Macaca mulatta: one gene and its partners. The protein of the gene in region 1 interacts with the protein of each later gene in a pairwise test. Links are inferred from orthologs where the notes say so. Each region holds a gene or a part of one and is shown in the gene's direction. Other genes may lie near its edges.

Region 1 (4,308 bases):
CGTTGTGGAGATGAGTGCGGTGGAGTTGTGAGAGGTGAGTGCTTTGCTCACCCTCAGCCAGGAAGTTGCTCGGAAGTCGGTGCTGTCAACCAGCAGAGCAAGGTGGTGATCCGAGAAGCTAAAGCTCAGCCGGTCGCGGGTGCCCAGCAGGACAGAAGGCAGACCTTCAGGCCACTCCTGGAGTGCTTGGCCCTGTCCTGGTTGCTGCAGTGTCTGGGCCTTGCTTGGCTCTGATAGATGAGGGTTGTTTTTGTCTTTGCCTCATATAAGTTCCCTGCTCTGAAGGGTCTAGTAACTGCTAGCCATTCACTTAGTGCTTATCTGTTAATTTGGAAGGGCAAATTCGATTTTCAGCGGGATTTTGAATGCTTCGTCTGTGTTGTGATTACATTGTAACACATTGGCCACTTTCTCCAGGAGGCCAGTAGGAGGGGGAGCAGGGGGAGGGGCCTGGCTTCTGCCTAGGACAGGGTGGGTGTGCACCTGTGGCTCCTTGCCCTGTGGTGCAGTTTCCTGTGAGACCACCCTGTGGTGCTGAGTGCTTTGGGGCAGGGGATACAGCAGCATCAGCCAGACCTTGGCGGGAGGTCTCACAGGAGCACCCTCACGACTTCTCACATCTGAGACAGCAATAGCTAGGTGCTGGGACGGGGGCCTCTAGGTGGCTCTGTCCGGTCTTCAGTAGGAGGGCTACCTGTGGCAGGGTTCCAGGCCTGGCTGGCCTCTCTGGGGCTGGCCTCTCTGGGGCCTGGCCTTGCCTGGCTGTGAGGATCGTGTTGGCCTTGGTCCTTCAGTGTCTGGAGCACTGGCCTGGGGCTTCAGAGACCTGCTTGATTCCTGGCCCCGCTCAGACCCCGGGCACCTGGGAGGTCGTGGCTCCTCAAAACGGCCGTTCACCAGGCTGCTTTGCACCGCACCAGGCACAGGCTGTGGCTACTCATGAAGCCCACCCTGGGGCTGGGGAAGCGAGAGCTGTGAGTCCTCAAGCCACAACTGAGCTGCTCCATGTGGAAGTGGAGGGTGGAGACACGTGCAGAGAGAGCCTTGAAACCGTGGTTGGCGGGAGCTCCACTCCACTCTGGGCTCGAACCCTGCCTGCCCACAGCTGAGCCCAGCTGTGTCCCCCACTTTCTCCCTTTCTGGCCCCTGGCTTCCCCCCACCCCCACTTAGAGAAGGGCATGGGGATGGGCAAGTGGTCCAGAGGGCAGGCGGCCTGCGGGCTCCTCCGCATCCCTGTGAGGAGGGCATGGGGAGGGACATCCCGGTGGGGCCCAGTCTGGGGCTACCTGTCTTGGACTTAATCGTGTAGCTGGAGGCCAGTGCCCGGATGGCCCCTGTCACCCTCTCGCTGTGATGCCAGCACCTACTGACTGGAGGACCCGGGTTCCTTTGCCTGATTTTTCTCAGGCTGCCCTGAGGATCCGTGTTTGGTTAAAAAGGAGCCAAATCCACCTGCAGGGCAGGCGGCTCTAGCAGCCCCGCCTGGCTTCCAGCACCCTGGTTCCCTGGCGACACTGGACCCGCCTGGGCTTCCTTGATCCCAGCCCCACCCCTGATTTCTGCTTTGCTGCCTCGGGAAGCCATCGTGCCGCCCAAAACCCGAATGTGGGCCTCTCGGAGCTCCTTCCTCAATGAGTCTGCTGGGGACTGGGCCTTGCCTCCCTAACAAGTGCCAGGTGAGGCTGCGGCGGCTCTGGCCCAGGTGGAGCTGCTGACCTGGCCCCTTCCTGCAGCTGTGAGGTGTGTGAGGTTCGTGGGCCTGCACAGGTGCGGGCGCCATCCAGGTCACCAGGGCCCTTGTAGGGACGGCCCCCCACGGTTTGGAAGGCCTGGCGCAACCCCCAGCTTTGTCGAGGTGGCCCTTGCTTGGCGCTGAGATGCCAGACTTGGAGGCAGCTTCAGTGTTCCCGTGGACTTTGAAAACCAGCACACACTTGGGCTTGAATTCTCTGGCAGGTTTTGTGCCCTGAGTGCTGTTTTTCATGGTAAAGGTGACCACCAGTAGGGTGACAGGTGAGGCTGGTGTCGAGGCTGCTGGCCCTGTTTGCCTGGTGTCCCCGGGGACAGTGCGGGCCGACAGGCTCCCGCTGGGAACCAGAAGGCAAAGGTGCCAAGCCCCTGAGGTCCCGTGGAGAAGTGTGGAGCTGGAATCTGGCGTGTGTGCCGCTGCCTCTGACCAGGGACCTGGTCCCGTACCCCATGCTCCTGCCCTGCCCCACAGGACCCGTCTGTCCCCTGAAGCCACAGGGACATGCTAGCGGCTGCAGGGTCCGGGAACGGTGGCCCTGTGGGGGGCTCCTCTTTCAGCGAGGCTGAGCCTCTGCCCTGTGGTACTTGTTCCACTCTGTCTTCAACACGGTGAAACCCCATCTCTATTAAAAATACAAAAATTAGCCGGGCATGGTGGCGGGGGCCTGTAGTCCCAGCTACCCGGGAGGCTGAGGCAGGAGAATTGCTTGAACTCAAGAAACGGAGGTTGCAATGAGCCGAGATAGTGCCACTGCACTCCAGCCTGAGGGACAGAGTGAGACTCCATCTCAAAAAAAAAAAAAAAAACAATATTAGGTGTCCCCCTGGCCCGGCTTGAGTCTCAGTTCTGAGCGCCTGATAGTAAGGCGGGGACCCAGATAGTAAGGCTGGGACCCAGCCCTGCCTAGTCCCCACCTGACGGTTCAGTGAGGACCCTGCCACGCCAGCCACCACAGGGTGGCAGCTACCGCCCAGCCACAGCAGCCCAGCCTCTGAACATCCGTCTCCACCGTGGAGCAGAGGCCGCGGCACGTGTCGCAGACCAGGGCTCGGGGGGCCCATGGGGAAGGGGTCCTACCTGTCCCCCCACCCCCGGTGATCTGGGATCCACTCATGAGGCCTCCCCTGGTAGACCCCGGGGTCGGACGACGGCTTCCAGGAGGAGAGTCTCTGCTGGGCTGGGCTGGCGCCTGTTAGGAGCAAGACTGCCCACTGCGGGCCGTGTGCACGTGGCGGGGCCGCAGGAGCCCGCTAGCCTGTCCTGACCCCGTGCTCTGCCTCCTGTGTTCCAGGGACTCTGAACATGTCGGGGATCGCCCTCAGCAGACTCGCCCAGGAGAGGAAAGCATGGAGGAAAGACCACCCGTTTGTAAGGAGGGCTTCGTTTCCGTGTGCAGTGCCGCGGACGGCCCCCCTGGGCTGAAACCGTGCCCCCCACCACTGGGAGGGAGCTGGCCGCGTGCCTGGGTCGCGCTGGTGGGGCTCGCGGGCCGGTTCTCGGTGGTTTTGGTCAAACGAGATGCCACCGCACTGATGTGCTTTTGTGGTTGTTTTCTCTCAGGGTTTCGTGGCTGTCCCAACAAAAAATCCCGATGGCACGATGAACCTCATGAACTGGGAGTGCGCCATTCCAGGAAAGAAAGGGGTAAGAGGCGCGCGCTGCTAGCCTCCTGCCTGTCGGGGCTCAACAGATGCGTGTGGCAACGCCACGGGGAAACTGCTCAGCCCCTGCCGTCTGTGACGGCCGCCCTTGTCACGGGCTGCGGACAACAGGTCAGATCCCCAGCTGTGGCCTGGCCCCCGCCCCGTGCGGACTTGAGCTCAGAAGGTGGTGCTGGCAAGGTTGGGGTGACAGCTGTGTCCCCACCGAGGGCATTTCTGGTTGAGAAGGAAGCAGGCTGGGCACAGGGCTGAGCTGTGGCAGAGGGGAGGGGCTCTGGTGTGTGTTGGGAGCAGGCCTGAGGGCGGGCAGCCTTTGCAGGCTGGAACCCGGGATTCTGCTGTGTCCTTCCAGGTGTGGCTCAGGTCACGGTAGCTGGGTTTGCTGGAGAGCCACCCTGGCGTAAAGCCGCCTCCTGGAGAACCTCCTGGGGCACAGGGACTGGCGACAGCAGCCTAGGATGCCTGCTTGGGGCCCCCTGTGTGTCTGTGGGGAGCAGGGCGGCCTGTGTGCCTGTCGTCTTTGCCCGGCTCCCGTGAAGCACTTGGCCGGGGACTCCAGGCTGGTGTGCACATAAGGTTCATGCTGGTGAACCCTGAAGGAAGGAGAGAGCCCTGAGGTGCTGGTCCTGCCCGAGGCCTTGTTCCCTCCGGCCCATGCCACCCTCTGGGTTTCACTCTGAAACTCAAAGCAGCTTCGGTCCCCCTGAGCTGAGCAGTCCCAGCAGGTCTCAGCTTTGCCTGAGACATGGTGTCACTTGGGTTTGTCGCTTGTCTGAGGCTCTGCTGAGAACGTCCCTTGCTCTTCACGTCACGGCGACGCAGGTGTGCGGCCCCGAGGAAGACGGGAGTGGTGTCGGATTGTGGGGTGGCAAAGGCGCCTCATCCAGGCAGGATCT
Region 2 (4,288 bases), on another chromosome or scaffold:
AGATCGCGCCACTACACTCCAGTCTGGGTGACAGAGCAAGACTCTGTCTCAAGAAAAAAACAAAACAAAACAGAACAAAAAACAAAGAAACAACAATAACAACAAAAAACAGGAGAAGGACCCAAGATGGTATCTCAGTAGTCAGGGCCCTACTTCAGTATTCCCACAGCATTGGTTAGATCAGACTGTCATGGAATCTTTTAAAAACTCAGTGTATTAGTCCACATTCACTCATTCATTTTCGGACAGTTGTGATCTTAATAGTGATTTTTTCTTTTCTTTTCTTTTTTTCCTGCAAGAGGCTGGGCTCTTGTCACTACCCCACAACCTCTCAAATCCCTTGAGGACTCAGGTAGCAGAAAGTAAATACATGAATGAACGAGTGAAATAACATATACAGATAAACTACTTAGCTAGCACACACTACGTTCTCAGTGATTCTCAATGAGGCAGTGGTGGCTGTGGTTAAGAAGTAAGCTCTGCCTGTGTTGTAATCCAACACTGCCACTTACTTGGATGTGTCATCTTGGGCAGGTCACTCTGTGCCTCAGTTTCCACCTTTGCAACTTGGGGCTAGTAATGCCATCCAACTCATAGGGTTGTTATGAGTTGTAAAGAGGATTCAATGAATTTAACCCGGCCGGGCGCGGTGGCTCAAGCCTGTAATCCCAGCACTTTGGGAGGCCGAGACGGGCGGATCACGAGGTCAGGAGATCGAGACCATCCTGGCTGACACGGTGAAACCCCGTCTCTACTAAAAAAATACAAAAAAAAAACTAGCCGGGCGAGGTGGCGGGCGCCTGTAGTCCCAGCTACTCAGGAGGCTGAGGCAGGAGAATGGCGTGAACCCGGGAGGCAGAGCTTGCAGTGAGCCGAGATCTGGCCACTGTACTCCAGCCTGGGCGGCAGAGTGAGACTCCGTCTCAAAAAAAAAAAAAAAAAAAAAAAAAAAAGAATTTAACCCATTTAAATGCAAAGTGCCTGGTATGTAATAGGCATTCAATAAAAGTTATTTTCTTTTCATAATTATTCTTGTAGTTAGGGATGAAAAACTCGCACTCCTGTAGGCAGTCAGAAAAAATGAGTGAAGTGGGGGAACTAATGGGCCTGGTCTGAAGGGGGATACTGATGTTTAGGGGAGTACGGACTCAGTAGTGTAAGATTTTCAGAATCTCCTCTTGACGGGTCTCATCCGAGGTTCCAGCACAGCTCTGTAAAGGTGAAAGCTTTATTATTATTATTTTTCTTCTCAAAACACTGCAGTGCTTTGGGTGAGCGCGGGTCCTTGGCCAGATCTTGAGTCGTGAGATGCGTCTTCAGCATCTCCTGCTTCTCCTTGGGAAGCCCTCTACCCGCCAGTTGGCCCGCGCCCTCCTCCCCTTTCTCGGGGTTCGATCCACCTCCTTTCCCCTACCCTCCTAAGGGCTGACTGCAAATCGGAGGGCGACTGCAGAGGCGGAATTCGGGGCAGAGCGGCGTCTCCCCTGCGGGCCCCGTCCCACCAGCAGGTGGCGGTCGATCTGCAAGGCCTGCAAGGTGCCCCGGCAGAAACTTGAGCAGATGTTGGTGCCGCTGCCCAAGAAGACCTCAGCCTAGTCTCCCCGAGCCCGGCTGAGTCTCCGCGAGCCCAGCTGTCCGCATCCGCGAAAAAGCGGGGAGAGAAGGGCGCGGGCCCTCCGGAGGCTGGAGCGACTCAAAGATTCAGACACCGCGAGCTGCTTTCGGAAGGGCTTCAGGAGGGGGTGAGTACTGAGCAGCGCACAGAAAAGGGAGCGCTGTCCTTTGTTGAAGGCATTGTCCTTGTCTTGCATTGAGTGGCTTTCACACACCCCGGGAAAGACATTTCTGGAAGGAGACGGTCTCAACAGAAGGAGGGAGCGCGGGAAAGAAGCCCGGGGAGCTGGCGCTTTCACGCCCCGCGGTCTGCAGCGGGAGGAGCGCGGGTTCCATCGCGCCAGATGGCGCTGTCTGGCTTTTCTCGGGCCTCGGGCGCCAGTCTCCAGAGGTCCCCGGCGCAGCAGCCTCTCTAGCCGGCCGACGCAGGCTCTGTGTTTCCGGGCGGAAGTGAGGCGCCGAGCGGAACGGCCTCTGGTGACATTTTCTTGGGGGCGGCGCGGACGACTGAAGGGACTTGGTGGTAGAGGCTGCGGAGGCGGCGAGGTTCACTTTGGTCCCGGCAGGGGCTCTGACCGCGACCCTCTGCTCGCCGCCGGCGCTTGTTCCGAGGAGGAGAAGGCGGCGGTGGCCGTCGCGTCCTGAGTCACCGCAGCGGGGAGAGTCCCAGCCGGGGGGTCGGTGCGTGCCCCGACGGGGCGCGCGCGGAGCGAGCGAGGAGGCACGGAGTCGCAGCGGAGCGCAGGTGAGGCGGGAAGGGGCGCAGGGCCGCGGCCTGGCTACTGGTCGAGTTGCGGAGCCCGGGCTGCGTCCCAGGGATAGGTCGGGGCAAGTCGGAGGGCTGCGGGCCGCGGTGAGGGCTCTGCGGCGTCCGGACGCTGGGATCCTGGCGGGCCCGGCTGGTGGGCGCCGGGAACTCGCAGCCTGGACTGGCGTCTGACGTGGGGGCATCGCACCGCTCCAACCTCCTTGCTCGTCAGCCGCTGGTGACCCTAGCGTCCTCCCGGCCCGGCGGAGTTGGCTACGGCACCCCAAGCCCCCAGACGCTGGGGCCGGGTCGAGGCAAGTCCTTTTCCGTGGGGTACTAAGGAGAAGGCTGGAGGTGCCGCAGTCCCCGGGCTGCGGGGGGAAGCGGCTTCACGGCCTTGGAGTTGTCTTCACGCAACTTTCTGGCTCCTAGGCCCGCCTGGGAAGCAGTGGCGGCAACTCCGCCAGCTCCGCGAGCCGGGGGTCTGGCGCCGATACCTGCCCCTGCAGTGGAGAGCTCCAGGGCTGCGGCCGCAGTGGCCTTGGAGGAGGGAGAAAAGGCTTTCTTAGGCTTGGCGCCGCCTGCCTCTCGGCGTTTCCACTACCTTCGGTCGGCAGGCGCCTCCGGTCAATGGGAGAGATGTGTCAGTCTCCAAAATTGACCGCTTCTGGGGAGTTCGTCAACTTTATTTCAAAACCGGTGAGGATGTACACTGACGAACCCGGCTTAAAGACTGTCGCCTTTACGCAAGCCATTCATTCTCACTTTTAAATTGTCCGCCTACCCCCCCGCCCCACTCCGTCCCCGGCAGCCCCCATCACAAAATTGATGTTCGCAGGTTGAAGTAGAGAACATCGGTAGGAGCCCTCCCAGATAGATCCTTGAGCAGTTTCGGCTTGGATGGGTTTTTCGTTTTTTGCCTGACCTTTTGCTTTTTGAATCCTCCCACCCAGTAAAATTAAAATCCCACTGATAATACTTCGTCAAGGTTGGACTTCTTAATTACAAATACATCTACCAATTTTGCTTAGGCTATTATTGTGTAGTATTGGGTACATGCTAACAGTTTGAATCACTCCCTTTCTTCTCTTGGGATATTTTAAGGATGGAAGCTATTAACTTTCTAATGTAGTTTTGCTGATCCTGGCAATCTAGATTCCTCCAGTAATCAGAGCATTGCCTTTTGGTTTAACAAGCATTTTTAGAGGCCTGCAATTGCTAGTTACTACCTGATGTCCTGAGGAGTCACATCGCTATTTTATTTATTTATTTATTTATTTATTTATTTATTTATTTGAGACGGAGTCTGCTCTGTAGCCCAGGCTGGAGTTCAGTGGTGTGATCTCTGCTCACTGCAACCTCCGCCTCCCGTGTCCTGGTTCAAGCAATTATCCTGCCTCAGCCTCCCGAGTAGCTGGGATTACGGACACGAGCCACGCCCAGCTAATTTTTGTATTTTTAGTAGAGACGGGGTTTCACCACGTTGGCCAGGCTGCTCTTGAACTCCTGACCTAGTGATCCGCCCTCCTCAGCTTCCCAAAGTGCTGGAATTACAGGCGTGAGCCACCGCGCCCGGCCTGAATCAGATTTCTTAATGGGAAAAATTTTTTTTCTGACACATTTTTGGGAAAATTTTTTTTTCTGACACCTTTTTGTGAAAAATGGGATGGACTGGACATTGGAGCTGGAAACTTTCCCCATTGTTAGAATAAGTTCACAGTGTAGTTGTTACTTACTCACTTTTATATTACTTTAACATGCATCTATTTGAGAGTAGCTGTCATAATCTTTGTTTTATGGTTATCATGATTAATTCAAAACCCATATAGTAAAGATAAATTCAGCTTTAGGTTCTAATTTAATGCAGTTCCTTTAGAACTGAGGGCTAATGCGTGTCCTTCAAAGGTTTCTTGCTCCTAATGTTAA
Region 3 (4,308 bases), on another chromosome or scaffold:
GCTCGGGGCTGGGGCTGCGAGCGGGGTGATTTTGTATTAAAATGAGGAGGAGGAAGAAGAGGCACCCACAGCGGCAGCGGCGGCGGCGGCGGCAGCAGCAGCAGGAGCAGCGGCGGAGAGGGCTGCAGCCCGGGCGGACGCGCGGAGCCGAGCGGGGCACGGCGGCGGCGGCGACAGCGGCCGGGATGAGTCAACTAATAATTTAATGGGGGCAGAGACGGCAGCGAGGGGGAGAGCGAGCGAGGGAGAGAGCGAGAGAAGCAGCCCCGTCCGGGGACTCGCGCTCACACTCACGCACACACACACAAACACACACACACCTCTCCCTGTGCCACCCAGCAACACCCGGCCTCGTCACAACAACAACAGCCGCGGCCGCCCTCTAGCCTGCCTGGGGGCCCAGCCGAAAGCCAGGGCGACTCCAGAGGACGCTGCCCGCCCCCCTCTTTCATTTCAGGAAACTCCTGATCAGTTTTGTTGGGGTTTCTGGGTTTCTTCCCCCCCCAAGTCCTAGTGCCATTGTGGTGCTCGTTGTTTACCTCGGACTCTGGACGAGTGAGAGCTTGGCGACTTTTTGGGGGGAGGGGGCGGGGAGTTTGTCGCTGCCTAGGCGGTGGAGGTGGCTGGGGGTGCCTTCTGATCTTTCTCCTCCTCCCCCTCCCCCCGAACCTCTTCTTTCCTCACTTGCTGGGATCCCAGACGCTCACAGCCCCGCGTCAATGGGCAGGGAGAGGGTCCTTGGGGCTGTTGTCAGCGAGGGCAGAATCAAAAGTGGCATTTTAGTGCCTTTCCGGGGCTTTTCTCGCGACCCTCTGCCCCCCACCCTCGCTGTCCCCCGCTAGATGCCCTCGTTGGGGGTGCGAGGCTGTGGGGAAAAGTTTAAGGTTTGTTAATATTAGTCACGATTGTTGGGGAGGGGGGTGGGGGTGATTGGAAGGGAGGCAAGGTGGCCTTCCCAGTGCGCGTTCTTCGGGTTTGTTGGAGAATAATATTGCAAGTGACAGCCAGAAGTAGACTTTCAGTCCTCACACCGAAGAACCCGAGCGAGCAGGAGGGAGTGAGAGACGCGAAGGGCCTTTTTTTTTTTCCTTTTTGGAGACATTGTCCGCAGTGATTTTTTTTTTTTTTTTTTTTTTTAAAGAGAATCCTCAGTCACCACCTCGTTTCCCCAGCACCATCATAGTGTACAGCTCATAACGGGTTTTGCTTTGTTTTTACGATTTCCCCCCAACGAATCACTTGTCAGATCAATTTTATCTTCTTCCTCCTCCCTGCTTCCCACTCTCCCCTCCTCCCCATCGCAAACCCCGTTCTCTGAGGTTAGACATTTTACAAACGCATATATGTTGGTTTTCGAATTGTGATTTTTTTTTTTTAAACCCCTTTCTCATGGCTACTCTTCTAGACGTTTATTTCTGCCCTTCCCCCGCTTAGGGGGGCGGGGGTAGGGGAAAGGAAAAATAATACAATTTCAGGGGAAGTCGCCTTCAGGTCTGCTGCTTTTTTTTTTTTTTTTTTTTAAATTAAAAAAAAAAGGACATAGAAAACATCAGTCTTGAACTTCTCTTCAAGAACCCGGTCTGCAAAGGAAATCTCCTTTGTTTTTGTTATTTATATGCTGTCAAGTTTTGAAGTGGTGAGTTTCAGGTCGGTTTTGCTAATTTCACTCAGTAAAACTGCAGTGTTTCTGTTTCTAGATAGTACTTTGCTTCTTTGTCTCTTTAAAAGGTCACAGTGAAAGCTTGGCCTGGATCGTGCCGGCCATATGGAATGGATAAGGGCACAATCTTAAAATGTGATTATGGGGTTGTGTGGGGACGAAGGAGGCGATCCAGCTAGAAACTCATTGAAAAGGATCTCACTTTGCAAAAAAAATCGGTTCTTAAAAAACTATAATTTCGTGCTTTTCTTTCTTTTTAAAGGAAATAATTGTTAGAGTTCACTGTTTTATTAAGTAATTATCATATATGGTCTTAGTTTATGGGCAGATAAATGGGATTTTCAGAAAGTAGCTTGCTTTCTGTGTGGCAACCAGACATTACACTAAAATGGGTTGTAACATGTGTAACTCAAAAGAAACTCTTCAGCCTGGCATCTGTTGAGACCATAGTTAGTTCCTGCTGCTGTCATCCAGGCAGGCCTGTTGGAGATTGCTCTTTTCAATTCCAAACTGTGGTTTGGTGAACTTTAGCCCGGGCATAGAGTTTAAATGAGTAAATTGGGTGTTTTATGTGCATTTAATTTTGGTTTGTAATGTGAAGCTTTTTACACCATGACTTAGTGTTTAATAGATGCTTATAGGTGGGTATTCAAAGGACAGTTTTTCATGACCTATGTGATACTTTGATTGTCAATACATTAACTAAATTATAATATATCATTTTCATTTGCTGTACGGTTTATAGTGTTGTTAAGCTTCATGATTACTTAATATGTTTTATAGCATTAACTTTGATGCTGTTGTCTACACCCCCTCCCTTTTTTTCCTCTTAAATTGCCCCAAGGGCTAAACATTTTTCTTTTCAAATCATATGTTTTAAAATTCATCTTCTGCTCTAGGATGAGGCAACCAATTTCAGAAAAAGCAGCTCTGTATTATCCACATGAAACATTATAAAGAGTGTTTTGAATAAGTTAATAATCATTGCTTTCTAATTTTGGCTTTAGACTGCAGTTTAATATAATGGAAAAGAGTAATCTTGATAAAAAGTGGTTTAAAAAGGCACATTTATTGTTAATGAACCTCATAACCAAAAACAGATGGGACCTCGATCAACGGTAAACCTTTAGTTCTCAGTGTGCCACTCTGGAGTACAAAGATAAATAGCCGTTAATTTTTCTCAAACTTTATAGTTCTTCAATTGGCATTCTTAAGGTTGCTTTTAAACTTCCAGATTAACATTACTGCCCCCCTTTTCTTGATTATATGGTAAGAAGTAGGCTATGGTTAAACAGAAGAAAAAAATGTTTACAGAAAAGCCATGCTAACACAAACTGGCTTTCAGCAAATCCAGATTTAAATAGCTTCAGTGTAACAATTTACAACAAAAACAAGCCATGTCAAATTACTAGACAGCTAGGAAAAATGGTAATTATTCTCTCTGGTTTTCCTAAATATGATGCCTTATTTTCATAAGCTCAATATTTCAAATACCATCAAAGTTCATAAAATAATTCTACTTACCTGTTCTTATCAATTCTAATTAAAACTATGCTTTAAAAATGACTTTGATATTATCTAATCACTTTACTATAAATGATGTGAAAATTGATGTCTAGTATATAACTGAAAATAATTATCTGTTAATTTTTTTGAAGTTAATTACAATGTTAACGCCATTGCATGCTGAGGTTGTTTCTGAATACTGGATATTTTGTTTTACCAGTGTCATCAAGGTTTTTTTTTTTGTGTGTGTGTGTTTTAATTGAGCTTGGCACTTCAACCTAATGTGTATATCACAAAGTGTATTCTAAATTTTTAAAAAATATTTATTGTTAACAGCCCTCTATTGCTAATGGACACCTAAATACTACAAAACACATGAGTTTTAATGCATCAGTACATTGGATATTTGAAAACCCTTCACTTCTTCCTGTTTCCTTAGGGGTAAACTGATCCAATCACATGTTTGACCCAAGACTTGACTAGATCTGTCACATAACTCTTGAAACTTTGATAGTGGAAAACTTTTTCTATGCATTAACTTATAAAAGCCAGTGGGGAGTTTAAAAAACAGTTAGATGTTTGTTACCTTCTTTTGAGATTGTGTATGATTTTCCTCAGAATTTATATTCATATACATATAAAACATATATGTATATGTATATTATATGTACATACACATATAAACATATACATTAGATTTCTAATATTTTGAACTGTGATCATCTTTCCATCCTTTATTAAAGTGTTTCTGCTGTATTTTGTAATGAGTTTCTAATTGTTAAAAATTGGGACTACATAAATAAAATTTGCTGTTTTCTTTTTAGCTATACTTGTGATAATTCTTGTTCTAAAAGTAAGCCCATTTCTCCCCACTTAGTTTTTTTTATAGGCCAATTGCCTTTTTATTCGTGTGTATTGGTACAGTTTCCACAGATCATTTTGTTAATTTAAATAAGAATGTAAGGCTATTATCTAGAAATATAGTAACATCTGTATCATATCTAGATAGGCCATTTTACCAATACATTATATTTGTGGAGAGATATCTAGAGCTAAAACATTTACATAGGACACATATATACACGTAGGTCCCCACCCAATTATAACATGTCTTCTTTTTAAATTCTGGCAGGTGATCTTTA

Evidence for each region. The genes of interacting proteins can lie anywhere in the genome.
Region 2: the proteins of UBE2I (region 1) and ARK2N interact in a two-hybrid assay, tested with the Homo sapiens proteins (2 studies listed by BioGRID and IntAct). The two-hybrid records come from large-scale screens. The link is inferred for Macaca mulatta from reciprocal best matches to the Homo sapiens genes UBE2I and ARK2N.
Region 3: the proteins of UBE2I (region 1) and SATB1 interact in a two-hybrid assay, tested with the Homo sapiens proteins (3 studies listed by BioGRID and IntAct). The link is inferred for Macaca mulatta from reciprocal best matches to the Homo sapiens genes UBE2I and SATB1.

The regions. Positions count from the first base shown.
Region 1 is NC_133425.1:2,512,381-2,516,688, forward strand, and holds the start of UBE2I (SUMO-conjugating enzyme UBC9), read left to right. Parts: upstream 1-1,507; 5' UTR 1,508-1,677; intron 1,678-3,042; 5' UTR 3,043-3,053; coding exon 3,054-3,119; intron 3,120-3,311; coding exon 3,312-3,395; intron 3,396-4,308. UniProt on the Homo sapiens protein: Accepts the ubiquitin-like proteins SUMO1, SUMO2, SUMO3, SUMO4 and SUMO1P1/SUMO5 from the UBLE1A-UBLE1B E1 complex and catalyzes their covalent attachment to other proteins with the help of an E3 ligase such as RANBP2, CBX4 and ZNF451.
Region 2 is NC_133423.1:46,240,558-46,244,845, reverse strand, and holds the start of ARK2N (protein ARK2N), read left to right. Parts: upstream 1-1,486; 5' UTR 1,487-1,742; intron 1,743-2,063; exon of another isoform or gene 2,064-2,359; intron 2,360-4,288. UniProt on the Homo sapiens protein: AMPK substrate important for exercise capacity and skeletal muscle function.
Region 3 is NC_133407.1:30,103,328-30,107,635, forward strand, and holds the start of SATB1 (DNA-binding protein SATB1), read left to right. Parts: upstream 1-1,506; 5' UTR 1,507-1,636; intron 1,637-4,298; 5' UTR 4,299-4,308. UniProt on the Homo sapiens protein: Crucial silencing factor contributing to the initiation of X inactivation mediated by Xist RNA that occurs during embryogenesis and in lymphoma.